Canis lupus familiaris: one gene and its partners. The main gene of each other region encodes a partner of the protein of the gene in region 5 in a complex. Links are inferred from orthologs where the notes say so. Each region holds a gene or a part of one and is shown on either strand. Other genes may lie near its edges. The genes, in order: CASP7, RIPK2, CASP3, TAB1 and XIAP.

The links.
Region 1: the proteins of XIAP (region 5) and CASP7 are in contact, whole or in part, in a crystal structure (PDB 1I51), measured with the Homo sapiens proteins. The link is inferred for Canis lupus familiaris from reciprocal best matches to the Homo sapiens genes XIAP and CASP7. Residues at the interface, in NP_001158.2 of Homo sapiens: His136, Ala137, Leu140, Leu141, Gly144, Gln145, Val146, Val147, Asp148, Ile149, Ser150, Asp151; in NP_001218.1 of Homo sapiens: Tyr230, Trp232, Arg233, Ser234, Pro235, Gly236, Arg237, Trp240, Glu274, Ser275, Gln276, Asp279, His281, Phe282.
Region 2: the proteins of XIAP (region 5) and RIPK2 are in contact, whole or in part, in a cryo-EM structure (PDB 8AZA), measured with the Homo sapiens proteins. The link is inferred for Canis lupus familiaris from reciprocal best matches to the Homo sapiens genes XIAP and RIPK2. Residues at the interface, in NP_001158.2 of Homo sapiens: Lys208, Asn209, Trp210, Glu211, Pro212, Cys213; in NP_003812.1 of Homo sapiens: His136, Asn137, Met138, Thr139, Pro141, Ile208, Asp278, Glu279, Arg280, Ser282, Lys285.
Region 3: the proteins of XIAP (region 5) and CASP3 are in contact, whole or in part, in a crystal structure (PDB 1I3O), measured with the Homo sapiens proteins. The link is inferred for Canis lupus familiaris from reciprocal best matches to the Homo sapiens genes XIAP and CASP3. Residues at the interface, in NP_001158.2 of Homo sapiens: Ala137, Leu140, Leu141, Gly144, Gln145, Val146, Val147, Asp148, Ile149, Ser150, Asp151, Thr152, Ile153, Tyr154, Asn226, Leu231, Gly232, Arg233, Asn234; in NP_001341706.1 of Homo sapiens: Tyr204, Trp206, Arg207, Asn208, Ser209, Lys210, Asp211, Trp214, Gln217, Lys242, Thr245, Glu246, Phe247, Glu248, Ser249, Phe250, Phe252, Thr255, Phe256.
Region 4: the proteins of XIAP (region 5) and TAB1 are in contact, whole or in part, in a crystal structure (PDB 2POP), measured with the Homo sapiens proteins. The link is inferred for Canis lupus familiaris from reciprocal best matches to the Homo sapiens genes XIAP and TAB1. Residues at the interface, in NP_001158.2 of Homo sapiens: Phe33, Ala34, Ser38, Gly39, Pro41, Ser43, Ala44, Ser45, Thr46, Arg49, Tyr75, Ser78, Ala79, Val80, Gly81, Arg84, Phe92, Ile93, Gly95, Tyr97, Leu98; in NP_006107.1 of Homo sapiens: Glu99, Ala100, Arg103, Thr201, Gln202, Leu203, Glu212, Asp213, Phe216, Arg217, Gln220, Arg241, Glu269, Glu271, Ile272, His273, Ala275, Gln276, Pro277.

The regions. Positions count from the first base shown.
Region 1 is NC_049249.1:24,894,853-24,899,063, reverse strand, and holds the start of CASP7 (caspase-7), read right to left. Parts: upstream 2,813-4,211; 5' UTR 2,669-2,812; intron 1-2,668. UniProt on the Homo sapiens protein: Thiol protease involved in different programmed cell death processes, such as apoptosis, pyroptosis or granzyme-mediated programmed cell death, by proteolytically cleaving target proteins.
Region 2 is NC_049250.1:35,924,802-35,928,943, reverse strand, and holds the start of RIPK2 (receptor-interacting serine/threonine-protein kinase 2), read right to left. Parts: upstream 2,810-4,142; 5' UTR 2,756-2,809; coding exon 2,583-2,755; intron 1-2,582.
Region 3 is NC_049237.1:46,865,719-46,868,125, reverse strand, and holds part of CASP3 (caspase-3), read right to left. Parts: coding exon 2,350-2,407; intron 1,815-2,349; coding exon 1,639-1,814; intron 1,259-1,638; coding exon 1,138-1,258; intron 952-1,137; exon of another isoform or gene 92-951; intron 1-91. UniProt on the Homo sapiens protein: Thiol protease that acts as a major effector caspase involved in the execution phase of apoptosis. Following cleavage and activation by initiator caspases (CASP8, CASP9 and/or CASP10), mediates execution of apoptosis by catalyzing cleavage of many proteins.
Region 4 is NC_049231.1:26,615,923-26,620,099, forward strand, and holds the start of TAB1 (TGF-beta-activated kinase 1 and MAP3K7-binding protein 1), read right to left. Parts: upstream 2,809-4,177; 5' UTR 2,722-2,808; coding exon 2,689-2,721; intron 1,307-2,688; exon of another isoform or gene 1,241-1,306; intron 1-1,240. UniProt on the Homo sapiens protein: Key adapter protein that plays an essential role in JNK and NF-kappa-B activation and proinflammatory cytokines production in response to stimulation with TLRs and cytokines.
Region 5 is NC_049260.1:96,092,466-96,096,615, forward strand, and holds the start of XIAP (E3 ubiquitin-protein ligase XIAP), read left to right. Parts: upstream 1-1,347; 5' UTR 1,348-1,355; coding exon 1,356-2,232; intron 2,233-3,297; coding exon 3,298-3,397; intron 3,398-4,150.

The DNA of each region.
Region 1 (4,211 bases), on a different chromosome or scaffold from region 5:
TAAAGTCCTTGTCCTTCCCAGCCACATGGAGGGGACTTTGGACTTGGCTACCAAGACATAAAATTCAGTCTCACTTCTATGGTTCAGTGTGGGAGGCTTTCCATGAGCTTTCCCCCCAAACACTAGGCAAGAAGGGTCTTCCGTCTGAAACCTACAGCTTCTTTCTGGATTGATGCTGAGCACTGTGTAGGGTGACAGCAAACATTCAGTGACTTTCTTACTCCCATGAGGCCAGGCTTGATTTCTGGGGAAAATCAAGTTCACCCAGAACAAGGGTGCTGACCCAGCAGGGTGCCTGATGTCGGCCACATCATTTCAGCCAAGCCAAGATGTGGTGTTGACCCTGTATTTCCACTCATACTCAGAGCCCACCAGGAAAATCTATCTATCTCAGCTCTGCTGTGCCTAGATGGGGCAGGCCTAGTGTTGTTTTCCAGTGTTCATCCTCTTTTAGGGTTCAGGCCATAAAGAACAGTCAGCACACAAGTGCTCCTGCTCATCCAACAGCGCATCTGTCTTCAATTACACGTGTCGATCTTCTCTCTAAATGAATCAGTACGTGATGCACATAAAGCACTAGCACTGCCAGGAGCTCCACGTAAGCACTCCCGGTTAGCTCTTGTCATCCTTATTGTCATTAGTATCCAGTAAGATTCGAACTCTTTGCGAACAGAGAGTGTATCTCAACTAGAGTGTATCTTAATTACCCTTTTTTGTTTCAGTTATAGAAAAGTTCTGGACAGAACATAGTGGACACTCAATAAATCTTTCTTTTGGGCAGCCCTGGTGGCTCAGCGGTTTAGCGCCGCCTGCAGCCCAGGGCATGATCCTGGAGACCCGGGATCGAGTTCCACGTCAGGGTCCCTGCATGGAGCCTGCTTCCCTCTCTGCCTCTCTCTCTCTCTCTCTGTCTCTCTCATGAATAAATAAATAAAATCTTAAAAAAATATAAATAAATCTTTCTTTTTTTTTCTTTTAAGAGAAGGATGGGGGGAATTGGCAAAGGGAGAGCAGAGAGACAGATCTTAAGCAGGCTCCATGCCCAGTGCCGTGCCTGATGCAGCGGCTGGATCCTGAGATCATGACCCGAGCTGAAATCAAGAGTTGAATGCTTAACTGACTGAGTCACCCAGCTGTCCCGATAAATATTTTTTTAATAAATGTTTTAATTAAAATATACTTAAAATGTTTAAATCATTCAGTGTCTGAATAAATTATTGACACAGGACAGAGAACACAACCAAGTTGAGAGCCCAGTCATGGGAAGAGCAGATCAGGGATTAAACTGGCTCCTCCATCTACTAGCCATGGGACCTTGAACAAAGGGGCTCAATTTCTTTGAGCCTCAGCTTCCTCATCTGTGAATTGGGAAGATAATGATGCCTAAGTCACAGGCTGTGAGATGAATGGAAAAACGCATGTAAAGTACTAAGTACAGTATAGCACATTCTAGATGTTCAATAAACATTCCTTATTATCGCCACTGTCAGCAGAACTCAAGACCAAGAACACATTCAACTGCCAACCTTCACGGATATTTTAAGCAGCTTTTACAGAGAATGAAAAAATATTTCTCTGGTGATTGTTCCTAAACATGTTTTAATAGGCGACTGGTACATATCTGGTAGGAAATCACTTCTGGCTATATCCTGAACTTTTTTTCCATGAGTGGGAGGACTCATTGCATCTACTTCCTCTGAAAAGTGGCATAACGCAACTTGCCCCCACTCTTGCCCCAGTGAAGACAATCTCCCTAAAAGGCTCAAAGAGAAGCAGCCCTGAGGACCTTTCACCTTTGGCACTTGGAGAAGGCGCCCCTGGTACTTGGGTACCCCTGTCACCAGAGGCTCGCAGCACTGCTAGGAGGCTGGAGCCCCTGCCCATTGCAGAAGAAACCTGGGTTTCTTCAGAGAGTTTAAGTAACCTGCCCAAGGCCACACAACTAACAGGAAGCAGAGGTGGATTATGAACCCAGGTGAGGGCTGTTCATAGGGGCTGAAGGTCAGCAGCCCCTGAAGGAGGAAATAGGCTGTAAGTAAATAAAGGACAGGGCCACACAGTCCACCAGAGCAAGAGTTCAAGGGAAGAGCCTGAGCATGGCCCACACAGAGTAACCCACAGGTAATTTTACTGCTCCGTTACGATAAACTTGAACACACGGTGAAAGGTTGCAAGGTCGACTGTGGTCCTGTTTTTTTCACCTCCTCAAGAGATCTTCAAGGGCCCTGCACCAGCGGCCCCAGGCAGGAGGTCAGCAGCTCCTGCACACTGAGCCCTGACCCAGGCCCTCCTGCTATATGCACCGGTGACCAACTTCCATCCTCCCGGCGCCCCCCAGGCCGCGATCAGCACCGTTCCCATTTGACAGACGGGCACAGCGAGGCCCGCGGCTGACTTAGAGCGGCGCGGGGACCAGCGCCCAGGGTGGTCCGACAGCGGGGCGCTCGCGGTCAGCCGGGCGAGACCGCCACCCCCTCCCTCCCGGCTCCCTCCACGCCCCCTTTCCCAAAAGCCGAGCTGCAGGGCTGTCCCGGCCCGCGGCCAGCAGGGAACCGAGGGCCGGCTGGGCTGGGCTGGGCTGGGCTGGGCTGGGCTGGGCTGGGCGGAGCGGAGCGAGCTGGGCCGGGCCCTCTCCCCGGACTCGGCGCGAGGGGGGCCGCGAGGTTACCGTGTCCGCAGCGGCGGGCGGCGGGCGGCGGGGCTGGCGTCCGTCTCGGTCCCTCCGCGGATAGGGTCTGGGGCCGCCCGCAAGAAAGCGAAAGTGAAAGCCCGGGCGGCCGAGGGCGGAGTCGCGCGGGCCAGTCCCCGGGGCGGGGCGGGGTCGGGGGCGGAGCCGGGGTCGGGGCGGGGCCTGGGAAGGGGCGGGGCTGGAGGCGGGGGCGGGGCTTGAGGCGGGGCCCGGGGGCGGGGCTGGGGGCGGGGCCGGGGCCCGGGAGCGGAGTCGTGCGGGCCAGTCCTCCGGGCGGGACGGAGCCGGGGCCGGGGGCGGGGCCGGGGGGCGGGGCCTGGGCCGGGGGCGGGGCCCGGGGGGCGGAGTCGCGCGGGCCAGTCCCCCGGGCGGGTCGGGGTCGGGGTCTGGGGCGGAGCCGGGGGCGGGGCCTGGGGGCGGGGCCGGGGCCTGGGGGCGGGGCCGGGGCCTGGGGGCGGGGCCGGGGCCCGGGGGCGGAGTCGCGCGGCCAGTCCTCCGGGCGGGACGGAGCCGGGGCCGGGGGCGTGGCCGGGGGCGTGGCCGGGGGCGGGGCCGGGGCACCTCCTCCCGCTCCCGCGGCCGCGCTCTCCCCGAGGTGTCTCGCGCGCCCCGAGGCCCGCCCCCACGCGCGCCCGCGCCCTGCAGAACGCGGCGGGCCGCGCGCGTGGCCGGGGACGTGGCAGGCGCCCGGGCGCAGTTGGCCGCGCCCCCGGACGGCGCCCTCGGAGAGTTGGGAGAGTTCTCCCGCAGCCCCGGGAGAGCACCTGCACCTGCTGAGCCCGCGGCGGCGCCCGCAGCGACCCGGGGGCGCGCTCTGCACACCGGCCGCGCGCCGAAGAGCGCGCCCCGCGGACTCGGCGGCGCTCGAGGACCGGGCGCCCGCCGGGCTCCCCGCCTCCTCCCCTCCCGCTGCGGCCCCCGTCCGCACCCCCACTCGGGCCTCCGCACCCGCCGCGGGGACCCCGTTCCCACAGCCAGACGGCGTTTCCCCCGCCGGGCCCCCGACCCTGGGAAGGGGGTGCTCGGCGCCCGCAGCACTGGAGTCCCCGTCTCCGGGGCCGGCCTGGAGCCGCCGGTGGGCGTGCGGTGTCCACTCGCGGGGGCGGCAGGACTCGAACTCCGCTCTCGGGTGGCGAGCTCCCGCCTCGCAGCGCGGCGAACTTGCCGGAGGTCCCTCCAGAGTAGTGAGCGCCCCCAAGTGCCGGCCACTGGGCATGGGGCCGTGACCCGGCCCACCGCGGGCGGGGCCTGCACGCCCCTGGTCCCGCCCCCCGCCCGGCTGCTGCTCCCACAGCCCCGCACTCTGCCTTTCTTCACCCTTGGGCCGAAGCCGGCGCCTGCAATGCCTTTCTCTCCAAGACGCCTCTGGGACAGCAACTAATTAACTAATGACGCGTTGAGGCTCTGAGAAGAAAGGACACTTTTTAAAAAAAAAAGATTTTGTTTATTTATTCATGATAGACATAGAGAGAGAGGCAGAGACACAGGCAGAGGGAGAAGCAGGCTCCATGCAGGGAGCCCG
Region 2 (4,142 bases), on a different chromosome or scaffold from region 5:
CTCCACACCAGACCAGGAGGCTTGCTTTAAAAGCAAACGAAAAGCAAAATAAAGCGAAAAATCTTAAGTCGGGTACGCTCTGAATAGATAATATATTTATACGTTTGAAAATTCAAGAGTTACAAGAGGTCCTAAAGTAAAAAGCTTTTTCCTTCTCCCTTTCTTCAGCCACTTAACACCCCAACTGTGAGGCAACCAGTGATATGTTTATGAGACCTGTCTTGATTAAACTCATCTTCTCTAAATTTAAGGAGTTCTGTGATTGCCTCAAAAGATGGAAGTCAACAAGAGCTACATCTTACTGTTCAGCATACTGGAGACAGAGAACGGATTTGAAAATTTCTAGGTATACTGGAAAAAAAAAAACACTATAGAGAGAGCATGCTGGCGAAGTCTCAGTGATACTTATATACCTGTTCTTTCTCACATTAAGAGTATCAGGCATTCTTCCTTCTATTGTGATCCTATTATGCGTCAGCCACTTTATATGCACTAGCACCCAAACACCAACCTTCTAAAGCTGGTTACCTTATCACCCCTTGAAATGAGGGCACTGAGGCTCAGATACGTTAGTTAGAAAGGCCTTCTCTATAAGGCCAACATTAAATGGCAGGGTTGCAATCAGGTTTGAATTGCAGTTGTGGGACTCAAAGCCTGTGTTCTTTCCATTCCACTGCTTGATGGGAGGAAGGAAAGGATCAAGGGAAGTTCTTGAAGTCAGATTTCGGGAAGACTGAGTGAGAGGCAAAACAGAAAAAGCCAAAAATAAATAGGTCTAAGACAGGTTTTTATATTTCTAAAAAAAAAAAAAAAAAAAAATGTAAGACACAGCTTTTTAGAGGCATATCACCAAAATTACCCAAATCAAAATTTCAGTCACAGGGTGTTTGAACAACTGATCAGACTCATCTACACAGAAAGAGTCAGGAGATGGTAGGGGAAGGCCCACTCATTGGGCAGAAGTCACTAAAATAAGAACACATGACTGCACATAAACTTGTTTTTCTTTTCCTTCCTTCCTTCTTTTTTTCTTTTCCCTTTCTTTTCTTTTCTTTCCTTCCTTTCTCTCTCTTTCTGAACAATGCAAACATTTTCCACACCGGAGCCAAAGTACATACAATTATTATTCCCACTTTATAAGTGAGTAAATGGACACCCTGTGAGTCAACTGCATAGCTCAGTCCACTGCTCAGATTGCATAAATACTGTGAATGCTAAGATCTTAGGTAACAGGTAGGGGAAAGAACCTGATGCAATAATGCCAAAGGATTTAACTGGTCCTTACGGCCTCTTTGACCACAGAATTCCCTACTAATTTACTGAAGAGTTTCAGGTTATGAAAATTGTTGCTAAGAATAGAAAAGGGAACCCCCTCTTCATTCCTTTGATCTTCAAATAGCACACAACTGGGATACACTGAACTCTTGAGGAGCAGCTTCCAAGATGGCCAGATGAATTTGCTGTAGAATACGTAACGGGTCCATCAGGGTTAGTTACCCATAGATTTTCATAGCTGATTCTAAAATACGATCACCCTTTCTAACCAATCACCACCCTTCAAACTTGACTACGTACATGTACCCACCTTTGCCCAGCACTTGCCCCACAGAACTCAAGGCCCAGGCGAAACAGACACCACATCTTATCTAACACGAGACCTGGATTGTGATCATATAAAGAGTGGGAACAATTTCTAGAGGTGTCTCAAATTTACTGTGAGATCTCACCCATCCCAGCCTGATAGCAAGAAAGCAAAGAAAAGCTACAGGCTGATGAAAGCCCCATAAATTCACAGGGCTGAAGCTGAGGAATTTATCTGCCATTGGATACTAATGGCCCCTGACCAATCAGACACCCGGCGTGATGAATTGGGATATTAGGTACGGGGGGGGGGGGGGGGGGGGGGGGAGAGGAGGATGTTGCAATCATGGATGTTAACTCACTAAGGACTGAATGCAGGGCCTGGTGGAGTGGAAGGAAAATATGCAAGACCAATGACTCTAGGAAGGAAAACACGCAAGACTAATGCCTAGACCCACTGACCAATAGGTTGGATCACAGGGCAATGGTATAGGATTGAGATGCTTCTCTGGAAGCAGAAACTGCTGGCTTTCCCTGACAACCTAGCCGGTGCACGGAAATTGTTCCAGGATGCGAGTGGCGTTCAGAACTCCTGGAACAACGCGATTCAGCGTATTGTTCGCAAACTAATACCCACACGACCTCTGGGGGGACCAAGGCCTCCCTGACCGAGTGAGAGAGGAACTGAAGCGAGTGGAGCGTGGAACCTAAACTTTCAGGACCCTACGTAATAAACCACAAACCAAGCCAAGCCCACCGCAGCCCCACACCGAAGCACCCCGGCTTTTGGCGTCTGGAGGGAGGGAGCCCAGGACTGGGAGGGAAGGAGGAGGAGACGCAGAGGGCAGCGGAGCGGGCAGAGGAAGGCGACGCAAGCATCTCCAGGGAAGCCGGTGCCCCCCCCCGCCCCCGCCCCCGCGCAAGGCCCGAGCCCCGGAGGGCTGCCTGGAGGCGGCGGGGCCGCAGAGCTGGCTCGCCCGGGGCTCCGCGGGGCGCCCTACCTGTCGCGCAGCGGGCTGTGGATGTGCAGCTGCTTCACGGCCACCTGCACGCGCCAGTCCGCGTGGCGGGCGGACGACACGGTGCCCGACGCGCCGCGGCTCAGGTAGCGCAGGTCGGCGAGCTTGCGGCAGGGGATGGTGGGCAGGGCGCTGCGGGGGCCCTCCCGGCTCATGGTCGCGGGCGCGGCCGCTCGGGTGTGCCCGCCGCGGCGGAGGCTTCCGGAGAGGCTCGGGGGCGCCGCGCTCGGGCGGGGGGCCGGGGCCGGGAGCTGGGGCCGGAGGCTGCAGCGGGAGCTGGGGGCGGGAGCCGGGGGCCGGAGCCGGGGCTGGAGCTGGGGATGGGAGCGGGAGCCGGAGGCTGCAGCGGGAGCTGGGGCCGGGAGCCGGGGCTGGAGCTGGGGATAGGAGCGGGAGCCGGGGATGGGAGCGGGAGCTGGAGCTGGAGCTGGAGCTGGAGCTGGAGCTGGAGCTGGGGAGGGGAGCGAGAAAGGGGGAGGAGGCGGGAGCTGGAGTGGGAGCCGGAGAGGGGGGCTGGAGCTGGAGCGGGAGCCGGAGCTGGAGCCGGGGCTGGAGCGGGAGCCGGGGCGGGAGCTGGGGAGGCGGAGCGGGAGCTGGGGAGGGGGCTGGAGCGAGAGCCGGGGCTGGAGCGGAGCGAGAGCCGGACGGGAACGGGAGGCGGAGCGGGAGCGGGAGCCCGATGGCAGCCGGAGCCGGAGCCGGAGCCGGAGCCGGGGCGGCCGGGCCCTTCCCGCGGCGGGGCACTAGGTGCCCGGGCAGCCCATGCCCGCGCGGCGCACGCCAGCCGCCGCCGCTGTCCCGCAGCGCGAGCGGACTCCTCTTCCCGGGGCCGCCGGCCCCTCTGCGGCGCCTGCGCGTGGAGGCGGCGCCCCTCCCTCCGCGAGCCCCTCCCTCCCCGAGCTGCCCCCGTGACGTCACGGCGGGCCCCGGGCGGGGGGGAGGGGGGGGAGGGGGACGTCTGCGTCACGGGGGGGGGGCGCCCACGGCTCGGGGCGACACCTGCGGGCGGGGCGGGGCGGGGGCCGCTGGTCCGTCCTGCCTCCGCCCGACGAAGGTTCCTCGCAGCCCGCAGCCCGCAGCTCGCGGGCCGAAGGGCCAACGGGGCCTCCCCGCGGGGACGGAGCGCGCGGGACCCCGGGCCGTGGGGGGCGGGGGGCGGGGGGCGGGGCGCGGCTGCCGCCTGTGCGCCTGCGCGGGGAGTGGGCGGGGCGGGGGCGGGGAGGGGGCGGGGCGGGGGCTCAGGTCTCCTGCCCACCTGGACGCCGCACCTGGGCGCCGGGCTCGGCTCGGGTGCTCCTCTCCTAGGGACCTACTTTTCTATCTTTCTCTGTCTTTTTCTTCTCTCTTTCGTCCGTAACTCTATGGAGGTGGAAAAAGTGGCTTTGGGAAGTCAGTCCCTCTGGCTCCAGGTAAGACCTGCGAAAATTCCCTTCTCAGTCCCGGAGAACTGGGAAGAATGCAGCTCTTTTTTTTTTTTTTTTTTTAATGCAGCTCATTTTTAATGTCCACCCTAAAACAACCAAACATCTTTCCTTTTTTTTT
Region 3 (2,407 bases), on a different chromosome or scaffold from region 5:
TTTTAATACACAATCATTAAGGTAAAAACAAACAAACGTCCACCAGCATTACTAGCCATAAAAAGAAAATAACCACCACCTCTCATTTCAGGGGAGACGATGCTGGACGAGGGGAAAGTGTGCTGTGCATACACCTCTGCTTTAGGCAAGGAAAAAAGTTGTGGACTACCTTCCCTGCTGAAGGATGGTGAGCTCTCTTTTTCGGTTTCCCTTCTCACAGGGAGGAAGGGAAACATGCAAAAGATCAGAGGCCAACGGATAAGAAGCACCACTGTTAAGTAGCATGGTGTTGTAGTCAGATCATGGTTTATTCAAGAAATATATCGCTTACATATGCACAGACATTTGGGTGTCCTAAATTTGTCTACAAGGCATCTGAAAAATATGATAGAGACATCAAAGAGTATTCAAAAACTCCAAAAAGGGGAAAGCAATGTATTTATTGTACTAATTTTCAGATTAACTATCAGATTTATTGCTTCTAATTTAGAAGTACTTTACCTGGAAAAATGTCTTGAGGTTCAAAAGAAATCCTATTGAGCATATTTTAAAATGTAACATTGTTTAACCTCACATTTATTTGTCCTCTATTTGCAAACTTTGTGAAACCCTGAGTCAGCTATATAATAAATAAATTGCAAGAGCAATCAATATTTATTGATCTGAGGACATAAAAACATAGAATGACCTGGTTCTTTTCCCTCATGACACTTTGCCCTCCTACATGCTATTCAGGTTTATTTTTATTATTATTTCCTATCTTCCAAAGGATTCCTGGAAAATGTACTAATCTCCTATTCTAAGAAGTGGACAAGCTCTGCCAAATACCAGACATGACAAGAAGGCACATATTGTACACCATGTTACAAAATTACAATACATTATTCTATATTAACAATATAGTCTCCTATCTGGCATTAAGTTCCTGAATGACACAGTGGAAGTAAGCTTTCTTATAAATGCACATTTTACAGCCAGACAGTTGCTAAAGACAACTTCCTGATGCTTCTCTGTAGCTAAGGTAACGAAATACGGATCAGTTAGCTGTTCATGAATATCAAAATCGTGATAGCCTTTGGAACACTGGTTTTGTGTTTAAAATCTCCATGTAATGTTCATTATTTGTAACTGTCTTACCAGGGGCTGTAGAGTAAGCATACAAGAAGTCCGCTTCGACTGGTATTTTCTGACAGGCCATGTCATCCTCAATTCCACTGTCAGTCTCAATACCACAGTCTAGTTCTGTACCTCGGCAGGCCTAGAGGTTAAAAGATAAGTGTTTAGGGGTATGTGGGTAGCTCAGTGGGATAAGCGTCTGACTCTTGATCTCAGCTTAGGCCTTGATCTCAGGGTCATGAGTTCAAACCCCATGCTGGGCTCCACACTGGGCACGGAGCTTACTTAAAAAATATCAAGGCTGTGTAAAAATGGAGGTTAACTATGAAGAGTCTTTTTGATCCAAGTCTAGCATGAACATTTATTCTATATCTAATGAGTGATAGTTTAAATGAATAAAAAAGTCACAGTAGTTCAGTAGCTTCAGTGGAAAAAATAAATCCATTGGTTAATCCACAAATGAGCAAATTAATCCCCAATTAATTCTCAGTAATTAATTCTAGTTGTTTAGTCATAGATTACCTGAATAATGAAAAGTTTGGGTTTTCCAGTCAGACTTCTACAGTAATCTCCTCGGAAGAAACCTGTTACTTTTCTCAGGTCAACAGGTCCATTTGTTCCAAAAATTATTCCTTCATCCCCATGGCTTAGAAGCACGCAAACAAAACTGCTCCTTTTGCTATGATCTTCTTTAGAGACTGGAAAAATGTTTACAAGTAAGGAAAATAAACAAAAAAAACCAACACAGCTTCATTTACCAATCAATCTCCAATTAAACTGTACAGGAGTAAGGTGAAGAAACTTGAGGACAGAACTGAGACATCACTGCAACCCAAGTTGGGGCAGGTCAATATACCTCAAAATCACTTTAGGAAATTAAAAAAAAAAAAAAAAAAAAAAAAAAGGGCAGCCCGGGTGGCTCAGCGCCACCTTCGGTCCTGGGTGTGGTCCTGGAGACCTGGGATCGTGTCCCACGTTGGGCTACCTGCATGGAATGGAGCCTGCTTCTCCCTGTGTCTGTGCCTCTCTCTCTCTCTCTGTCTGTCTCTCATGAATAAATAAATAAAATTAAAAAAAAAATCACTTTAGGGAGGTGACACGAATAACTTTTATTTTACATATATAAAATGTAGAATTATGTAGAGTATGGTACCACAGTTCTTTATAATTACAGCTACACTGTAATATAAAATTAGACAATGAAGGTAGGTCACTCTTTTAATTATTTCTTACCACTGTTCATTAATTCCAAAATTTCTTCGCATGTGAGATCATTTTTATTTCTGACTTC
Region 4 (4,177 bases), on a different chromosome or scaffold from region 5:
TTTTCTTTTTATAATTAAGTACAGAGTAGCACAGGCAAAACCAAACTCTTGATTCTCCCAGCCTCAAATGTGCTCCTCTTCCAGGGTTCCCTATCCCAGTAAAGAGCACTGAAGCCCTGCAGTGCTTCTAGAATCTTCTTCCCCTGTCAGGCCCCCCCACATCTGATCCACCAGCAAATCCTAACAGCTCTTCCTCCAAAATACAGCCCTCCTAAAAAGCACCCAGTTTCACAACACACTTAGAATAGAATCCAAAGTCCACAGTGTCTGTAAGGTCCCTGGGACCTTGGCTACCACCGCACCCCACCACGTACTCCAGCCACGCTGGCCTCCTTGGCACTCCCCAAACACATACGCCTTTGCAGCCCTATTCCTTCAAGCAGGAATACCCCCTCCCAAATCCCCTACTTCATCCCATCAAATGTTGAAGGGTCTTCCCCTATCACTCTAAAAGGCTCCCCCCACCATTCTCTGAATCCAGACTATTCTCACAACACCTGATGCTACAGATATTGTGTTGTTTAGAATCTGTATTTACTCATCGTTACTGTCTCCCTCATTAGAACAGAGGCTTCATGAGGAAAAGTGTCCCCTGTACCTACACTGTGCCTGCCACATGGTAAGTGCTCAGAACCAAAGGTGAAACTTCATGCTGGTCTGTGACCATGTGAGGCCAGGACTGTAATGTGTTAGTTCAGTGAATCCTAATAATGCTCCTGGGAGTCCTTTCTCTTGGGAACCAAAGTTCAGGGATGTTAAGTGGCTTGCCCCAGTCCATATGAGACTTGTACTTTTGTTAGGTTGTGAAGGGCCCAAGTTCCTTTGGACACATCAAGCTATCTTCAAAAGCTCTTCTTTTCTTCAAGACTTTTAAGGTACCAAAAAAAAAAAAAAAAAAGACTTTTAAGGTACCATGCTGGCTGGGGACCAAAGGTGAAACTCCTCAATGCTCTGCCATCTGGCCCCAGCACACCCTCCCAGCACCATGTTGGCAGCAAATCCCCAGGCCTCCCTGCAAGCCTCCACTGACCCAGTCAAATCAGGCCACCCACAGCCCCTCAACACTGACAACCCAGTGCCTTCCTCCTTATGTTAGTGGTAGGTGGCTCCTCCTCCTATGCTGCAAACGCACTGAGGGTGCGCACACACTTTACCTATCTTTGTGTCCCCAGGCCCTGCAACCACAGCCTAGTAGCCCTTACAGCCCTCTGTTCAATGATGTTATCTGAGCTGCCCTTACCAGACTCAGGCCAGTGGAGAGGTCAGCGAGCCTGGACAATCACACACTGCTGGACACTCAGACACCCTGTGAGCAGAGATAGCTTGATCATCATTAGGGTGAGAGGGGCCTCATGTGGACACTGCTACCATCCTCTTACCCTTCAGCACGATACTATGCGCTTAAAGCTAATTATCCTGTCTTTAAAAGTTTCCACTTCTACCCAGGAACACGAGCTGGCACTAGCAAAGCTTCTGTCTAACCTGAGTCTTCTGGGCCCCATCACACCCAGAAGAGAAGGAGCTGGAAGTCACTCTCCTCACCAAGCCAAGCCGCCCCACAGTAGTTCCCACTTCCAGCATTCACTACAGTCCTGCTTGTATTCCTGGGATTTTCACAATGGGAAATTGGCAGAGGCTCTGCCCTCTGGAAGCTTACAAAGCAGAGGACCAGGACTATCTAACTCCATGACGAGGTGACAGGCAGAGCACCAGCCCAATAAAGGGGCGGCTAACAGAGGAGGGGAGCAATCCTCACCGGGAGACCAATTTCAAAGACAGCCTACACGAAGCCTGTCACTAGTGTGCAGAACTGCAGGTCACCCCTCCCTCCGACTCTGATGCCTTAATTAAGACCCTCAAGGGCAGGAGGGCCAATGTCTGCTGCACCTCTGTGAGGCCACGGCCAGGCACTGGACATGGCTGCGAAGGCTTTTCTACAATTATTTACTGAGTGCCTGGCACCCTGTGATAAGTGCTGCTGGAACTCCTCGTAGGCACCGGTCCACAGGCAGGCGCAACAGCCGGCCCCCACCTGGGGAGGGTCCAGGGAAGCTGCACCCCCGCGCGCAGGGCAGTGCAGGCGCCGGGCGCCCAGGTGTGTGTGCATCCCTGGGCACCTGAGGAGGACGCAGCGGCTGCAGACCCGCGAGGGTCCGGACGGGGGGGGGGGAGGAGTCTCAGTGACAGGGAAGGAAACTGAGGCATAGTGCGTCCAAGCCGGGACCAGAACCCGCTGCCACTCGGGTCACTGCCACTTACTGGCTGCGCGGCCTTGGGCAAGGGACTGCGCCTCTGTGCCTCAGTTTCCTCACCCGTCAAACGGGAACCTCCCGGGGCTGTTACATAAATTAAGCTTACAACGTAAAGCAACTGGCAGGAAACCCGGGAGGTTAGCCTCCCCGCCCGGCACCCCGCCGCCGCGCGCACGGCGCTCCCCGCCCTCCACGCGCCCTCGACGCTCGGGGTCGCAGCACCGCGAGTCCCAGCCCCCGACGGCCGGCGGCAGCGCGCACGCGCGGGCCTCGCGCGGCTGCACGCGCTCCCCGGCCTCGGAGGTGAGGGGGGGCCGGCCCGGGAGAGGGGAGGGCGGCGGCCACCCCTCGCCAGGCCGAAGGGAGCGGCGCCTGCACCCGACAGGGCCCCCTCGGGCTCCCAACCCCCAGCCCGGGGAGCCGCTCGGTTCCTCACACTCTGCAGCAGGCTCCTCCTCTGCGCCGCCATCTTGGAGGGACCCCCCGCGGCTGCGCCCGCCTCCCAGCAGAGCAGGCGAGAAGGGCGGCTAGAGCGGCCTGAAGCCGGCCGGGAGGATCGCGCCGCCGGGAGCGCGCGCGCAGCGCCACCGCGCGGCCGAAGGGGGATGGGGCGGTCGGGGAGTGTGCGCAGGCGCCGTCTTCTGCCCTTTCTCTCCCGGAGGAAGAGGGAAGAGGGAGGGCTTGCCTAAGTGGTTGCCTCTCGCCCATTTTATTTGCGCATTTTCTCCAGGATGCTTTTCAGACACCGGATTTGTTTTTTGTTTTTTTTTTTTAAGATTTTATTTATTTATTCATGAGAGACACAGAGAGAAAGAGAGGCAGAGACTGTGTGTGGCAGAGGGAGAAGCAGGCTCCATGCAGGGAACCCGGTGTGGGACTCGATCCCGGGTCTCCAGGATCACGCCTGGCCTGAAGGCAGGCATTAAACCTCTGATCCACCCGGGATTCCTAGGATTTGGGTTCTTTATGGACACTTAGGGTTTGGGGCCCGGTGAATTATTCATTTACTCCATCAATATTCATTAGGTGGCCATGCCTGGCCCTATAGGGATGAAGCTGCAGGAAAGACACTCTCCGAAAGCTACTGTTTTCATTGGGGAGGACACCGTTTACGTACATAAATCATTTTCGAGGTGGGCTAAATGCTAGGAAGAAAAGTTTATGGATGTGGCATGGGATGGAGGGCAGACAGCTAGTGCACGAGGCACGAGAAAAGGGAGCGTGTGAGTGTGCGTTCAAGACGCATGCATGTCACAGAAGGTCTCTGTGGCTGGAACACAGATGAAAGGTTGAATGAGACGAAGGCTGACCTTGCCTGCCCAAGACTGGGAGTTGAGCTATTCATGCGGAGGACAAAGGAAACTTGTTGACTTCTGAGCAAGCCAGGGACATGATCCCATTGGTAGAAAGATCCCTTTGACTACTTTGGACAAAACAGATGTTTAGGAGTATTGAAGTGAAGACCAATTAAGGGACCGTTGTGTCTGCTCAAGGCAAGAGATAAGAGATGATAGTGGTTTGAGTCAGCTGCCACTGCCAAGTGGATGGATTTTATGTAGAAGATGAAATTGTTAGGGCTTGATTCATGGATTGGTTGGGGTTGATGATGGGAAGAGGTTTGTCAGAGATTCCCCCCAGATTTCTGGAAAGAACAGCTAGAAAATCCTGGGGAGTGGGAGAAGGGAATGAATGGCCTTGAGTTCGGTTTGGACGTGTTGAGTTTAGGTGCTTTTAAGACATGTAGGAAAAGAAGTCAATCCTGAAATGGAGAGGACTAGAGAAGACAACAGTGAAGGAGCAGGAGCAAGGCCTGGAGAGGCAGGGGAAGCAGAGGCTACATAGAACCCAGGGGGAGGAGGGCGTGGGCAAAATGTAACATACTTTTGAGAGCTCTAGTTAGATTACTGAAGAAACTCCATTAGGTT
Region 5 (4,150 bases):
AGACATCTGGGAAACAATAATGAAAAGTCATGGAGACTATCTTCCAAAAATAGTTCTATGCAGATATATCTCTGCTCTTGCGGTATATATGAATTACTACCATTGTAAATTGACAAGACCAGGAAAGACTGAAGTTTATTGCCACCCTGCAAGACTTGTGTTGAACATTATTACACTGAAATGATGTTCCAAGACATATTGTGCTAACATAATGCCAGGGCTGCTAATTCTTCCCAAGAAATCAATTAATTGACATATGAAGTAGAGGCAGAATTATCATGACCATTCTTTTTCTTTTTTTTTTTTTTGCCAAACATATACTGAGCACACACAGTATTAGGAATAGTGCGAGATTCTAGAGAATCAGGTTTGCCTGGGGCAACCCTGATTTATCCCTGTTGTCCTAGTGTAATTATTAGTAGCATCATTTTTCACTTTCCAAAGTGTCCAGGTTTGGAGGATAAATTATCTGGCCACCCTTCTCATAACCCACCTAGTTCCTTTAGTATTTTATTTCGGTTATATGTTACACAGCTATAATGTGGCAATTTTAATGAGGCTGCAGTAGTACTTCTCTTCCATTTGAACAGATCATTTTTCGACCATGGGAAGTTGATAGCAAAACTTACTGCAATTAAGGTCTATACATACTTACTATCTTTCCTGAGCTACCCTCTAGAGGGCAGTAATATATACATCCGAAATGATCCAATTCCCACAGAAAATGGACTACAGGAGTCCCATTTTCATATGCATGAAAATCAGAAACACTCAAGTGCTCTTAAACACTCGATGCTCATATTGGAACCAGTGTTGTGAGTAAAACTCAAATACCTTTTGCTAAGCAGAAAAGTAAAGAAATAATAAAAATTAATTCATTAACATTCTGAACATTTTTTTTAAATTGAAAAACTGAACTTTGATGGCTTGAATATATAATGATCTATTATAACAATTATGCATAGAGTTTAATAATCTGCATAATTTATGCTTTTGTTTTTCCTAATTAATAATTTTACATGGTTAATAATTTTAATATATTCTGTATCACAGTTTCCATATTTACATAAAGTAATCAATTAAAGAACAGTTTTATTCTACCTGCTTGAATATTACTTTCCTCCAGAAAATGAAAATGCTGGTTTTTACTTTATAAAGCTTGAATCATATAATGCAGAGCTCTAGTATTTGGAATTAGAATGTTTTTTTTAGAGATTGTGTAATTAATTTTATGTCATCAGGTAATTTGTTAGCTCCTAATATCAAAATTATATTGCCTGTGTTTCAGATTTTGAATTTTCTAATGTAATGTTCTCTTTTCAGAAAAGGTGGACAAGTCCTATTTTCAAGAGAAGATGACTTTTAACAGTTTTGAAGGAGCTAAAACTTGTGTACCTGCAGGCATCAATAAGGATGAAGAATTTGTAGAAGAGTTTAATAGATTAAAAACTTTTGCTAATTTTCCAAGTAGCAGTCCTGTTTCAGCATCAACGTTAGCACGAGCTGGTTTTCTGTATACTGGTGAAGGAGATACTGTGCGGTGCTTTAGTTGTCATGCATCAATAGATAGATGGCAATATGGAGACTCAGCAGTTGGAAGACACAGGAAAGTATCCCCAAATTGCAGATTTATCAATGGCTTTTATTTTGAAAACACTGCTGCACAACCTACAAATCCAGGTATCCAAAATGGTCAATATAATGCAGAAAACTATCTGAGAAACAGAGATCATTTTGTTTTAGACAGACCATCTGAGACTCATGCAGATTATCTTTTGAGAACTGGACAGGTCGTAGATATATCAGACACCACATACCCGGAGAACCCTGCCATGTATAGTGAAGAAGCTAGATTAAACTCATTTCAGAACTGGCCAGACTATGTCCACTTGACCCCAAGAGAGTTAGCTAGTGCTGGATTCTACTACACAGGTATTGACGATCAAGTGCAGTGCTTTTGTTGTGGTGGAAAACTGAAAAATTGGGAACCGTGTGATAATGCATGGTCAGAACACAGGCGACACTTTCCTAATTGCTTCTTTGTTCTGGGCCGGAATGTTAATATTCGAAGTGAATCTGATGTTGCGAGTACTGATAGGAACGTCCCAAATTCAACAAGTATTCCAGAAAATCCAGCCATGGCAGATTATGAAGCACGGATCGTTACTTTTCGGATGTGGATGTGTTCAATTAACAAGGAGCAACTTGCAAGAGCTGGATTTTATTCTTTAGGTAAACTTTATTATAAAACCAGGCTAATAAATAACTTTCCAACTATCCCAGTCCCCCTAAAAAGTGGATTCCTTTAGCCCCCTGAACTGGTAAATAAAGGCTGGCATGATTAATCTGTGAACCTTTATGTTGAATTTGCAGTGTAACTACTACATTTATGTGAAAAAGGACTACTATATTGTGAGTTATATTTATCTTTGTTTTTTTGGAGAAGGATTACATGCAAAAGATGATAGATCTCCCAGATAGAAGAATGGGTCTGACAGTAATATAAACTATAATTTATTGAGCACCTACTGTATGTGCTCAGTACATGTATCACATGCATTCTTTCTATACCTCATAAAAAGAGTTAACATTAGAGAGTTTAGTTTGGCTGATATTAAAATTGATACCTGCCTTTTGTACATAGAGTTTATATTTGAAAGCTGCCCTGTATGCCTTTTTGCTTCAAATAAGCACTTCTCTTTTTTTTTTTTTTTTTTTTTTTTAAATAAGCACTTCTCAAATGGACTACTGTAAACTTGTCAGGAAGGGCCCTTAGTGTGATGACTTCCAGGAATATTCAGAAAAGTTATACCATCATATATCTGACTCATTAGCTTTAGGATTGAGTAGTGCCAAAATACAAAATATTAGTTATTTCAATATTTTATTCACATAGTATCCTGTAGCAATTTTGAAGGTTTGTTTAGTGTCATGTAGCTATAACCCTAGAGAAACTTACTTTGTAATTTTGTTAACCTGAGCCTTATTGTTAAAGTTTCACAGTTTGAAAAAGTGTAGTATTGGTAGACCCAAATGATAACAATTTTAATTTTTCACATAAAAATTGGTCAATTTATTTTGTCTTCTGTAAAATACCTCAAATTGAATCAGTGAATTTAGTGTGTATTCCCTCCTCAAACAGTCATGGCTGTTATTTAAATGTGAATTTGAATGTCGTCTTTGAAGCTGAGATTCTCATGTAATTTAAAATGGTTAATTTCATGGTGTTAAAGGGGCATTTTTGCATAGGCTTCTAATTGCACAAATACATGTATTTTTACTTGTGTCTCTTCTTAGGGGATGGTGATAAAGTAAAATGCTTTCACTGTGGAGGAGGACTAACTGATTGGAAGCCCAGTGAAGACCCTTGGGAACAACATGCTAAGTGGTTTCCAGGGTAAGGTATTTAAATGTTTATTTAGGAACAGGCAAGTTAGACACTTTGCAGTCAGGAAAATCTTGAATAACTTTTCACCTAACTATTTTTGCCTTCACTATGGCTTGCAATTCACACCAAGTTTATAAAAATGGGGTCACCTACTTTATAGAAAAAAAAAGGCCCTAAGCCTTCTCTGGTGACCAAAGCATTCATTGCTTATATGTTATATATATGACATTCAAATTATTCTATTTCTAAACACTAATTAGGAATATATAGTTTTGTTGTTAGAAGTAGGCTCTTTCACAATGACCACGGGAGAGCCCTTGTTGCCAAGGATTTTTTCCTTGGAACCCATCACATCCCCTAGCAAATTTTACTGTATCTCTCTGATTATAAGACACACAATTGTTCACATTTTCAAATTTTTGAAATGATACATCTGGTGGTGGGTCATAATTTAATTGGCAGCGGTGGTACATAAAATAATCATCCTTCTTATAATCAGTGGCATCTTAGAATGATAATAACATACTCTGTCTCTTTGTCATCTTGTTTCTTTAAAAATATTCATACATATAAGTGATGTAAAATTTTTGACCTACAAACTAGTACAATTTAAAACTTCAGAGCGATTGTTTGAAAATAAATCTTAAGCTTAAAAAGCCTTAAAAGGAAAGGTTGAAAGCCTAAGGAGTTCCTTCAGAGTGTGTAGTTGGTTAATCCTCTAAACAAAATTAAACTATTTAAAAAATTAAATCTTAAATTTAA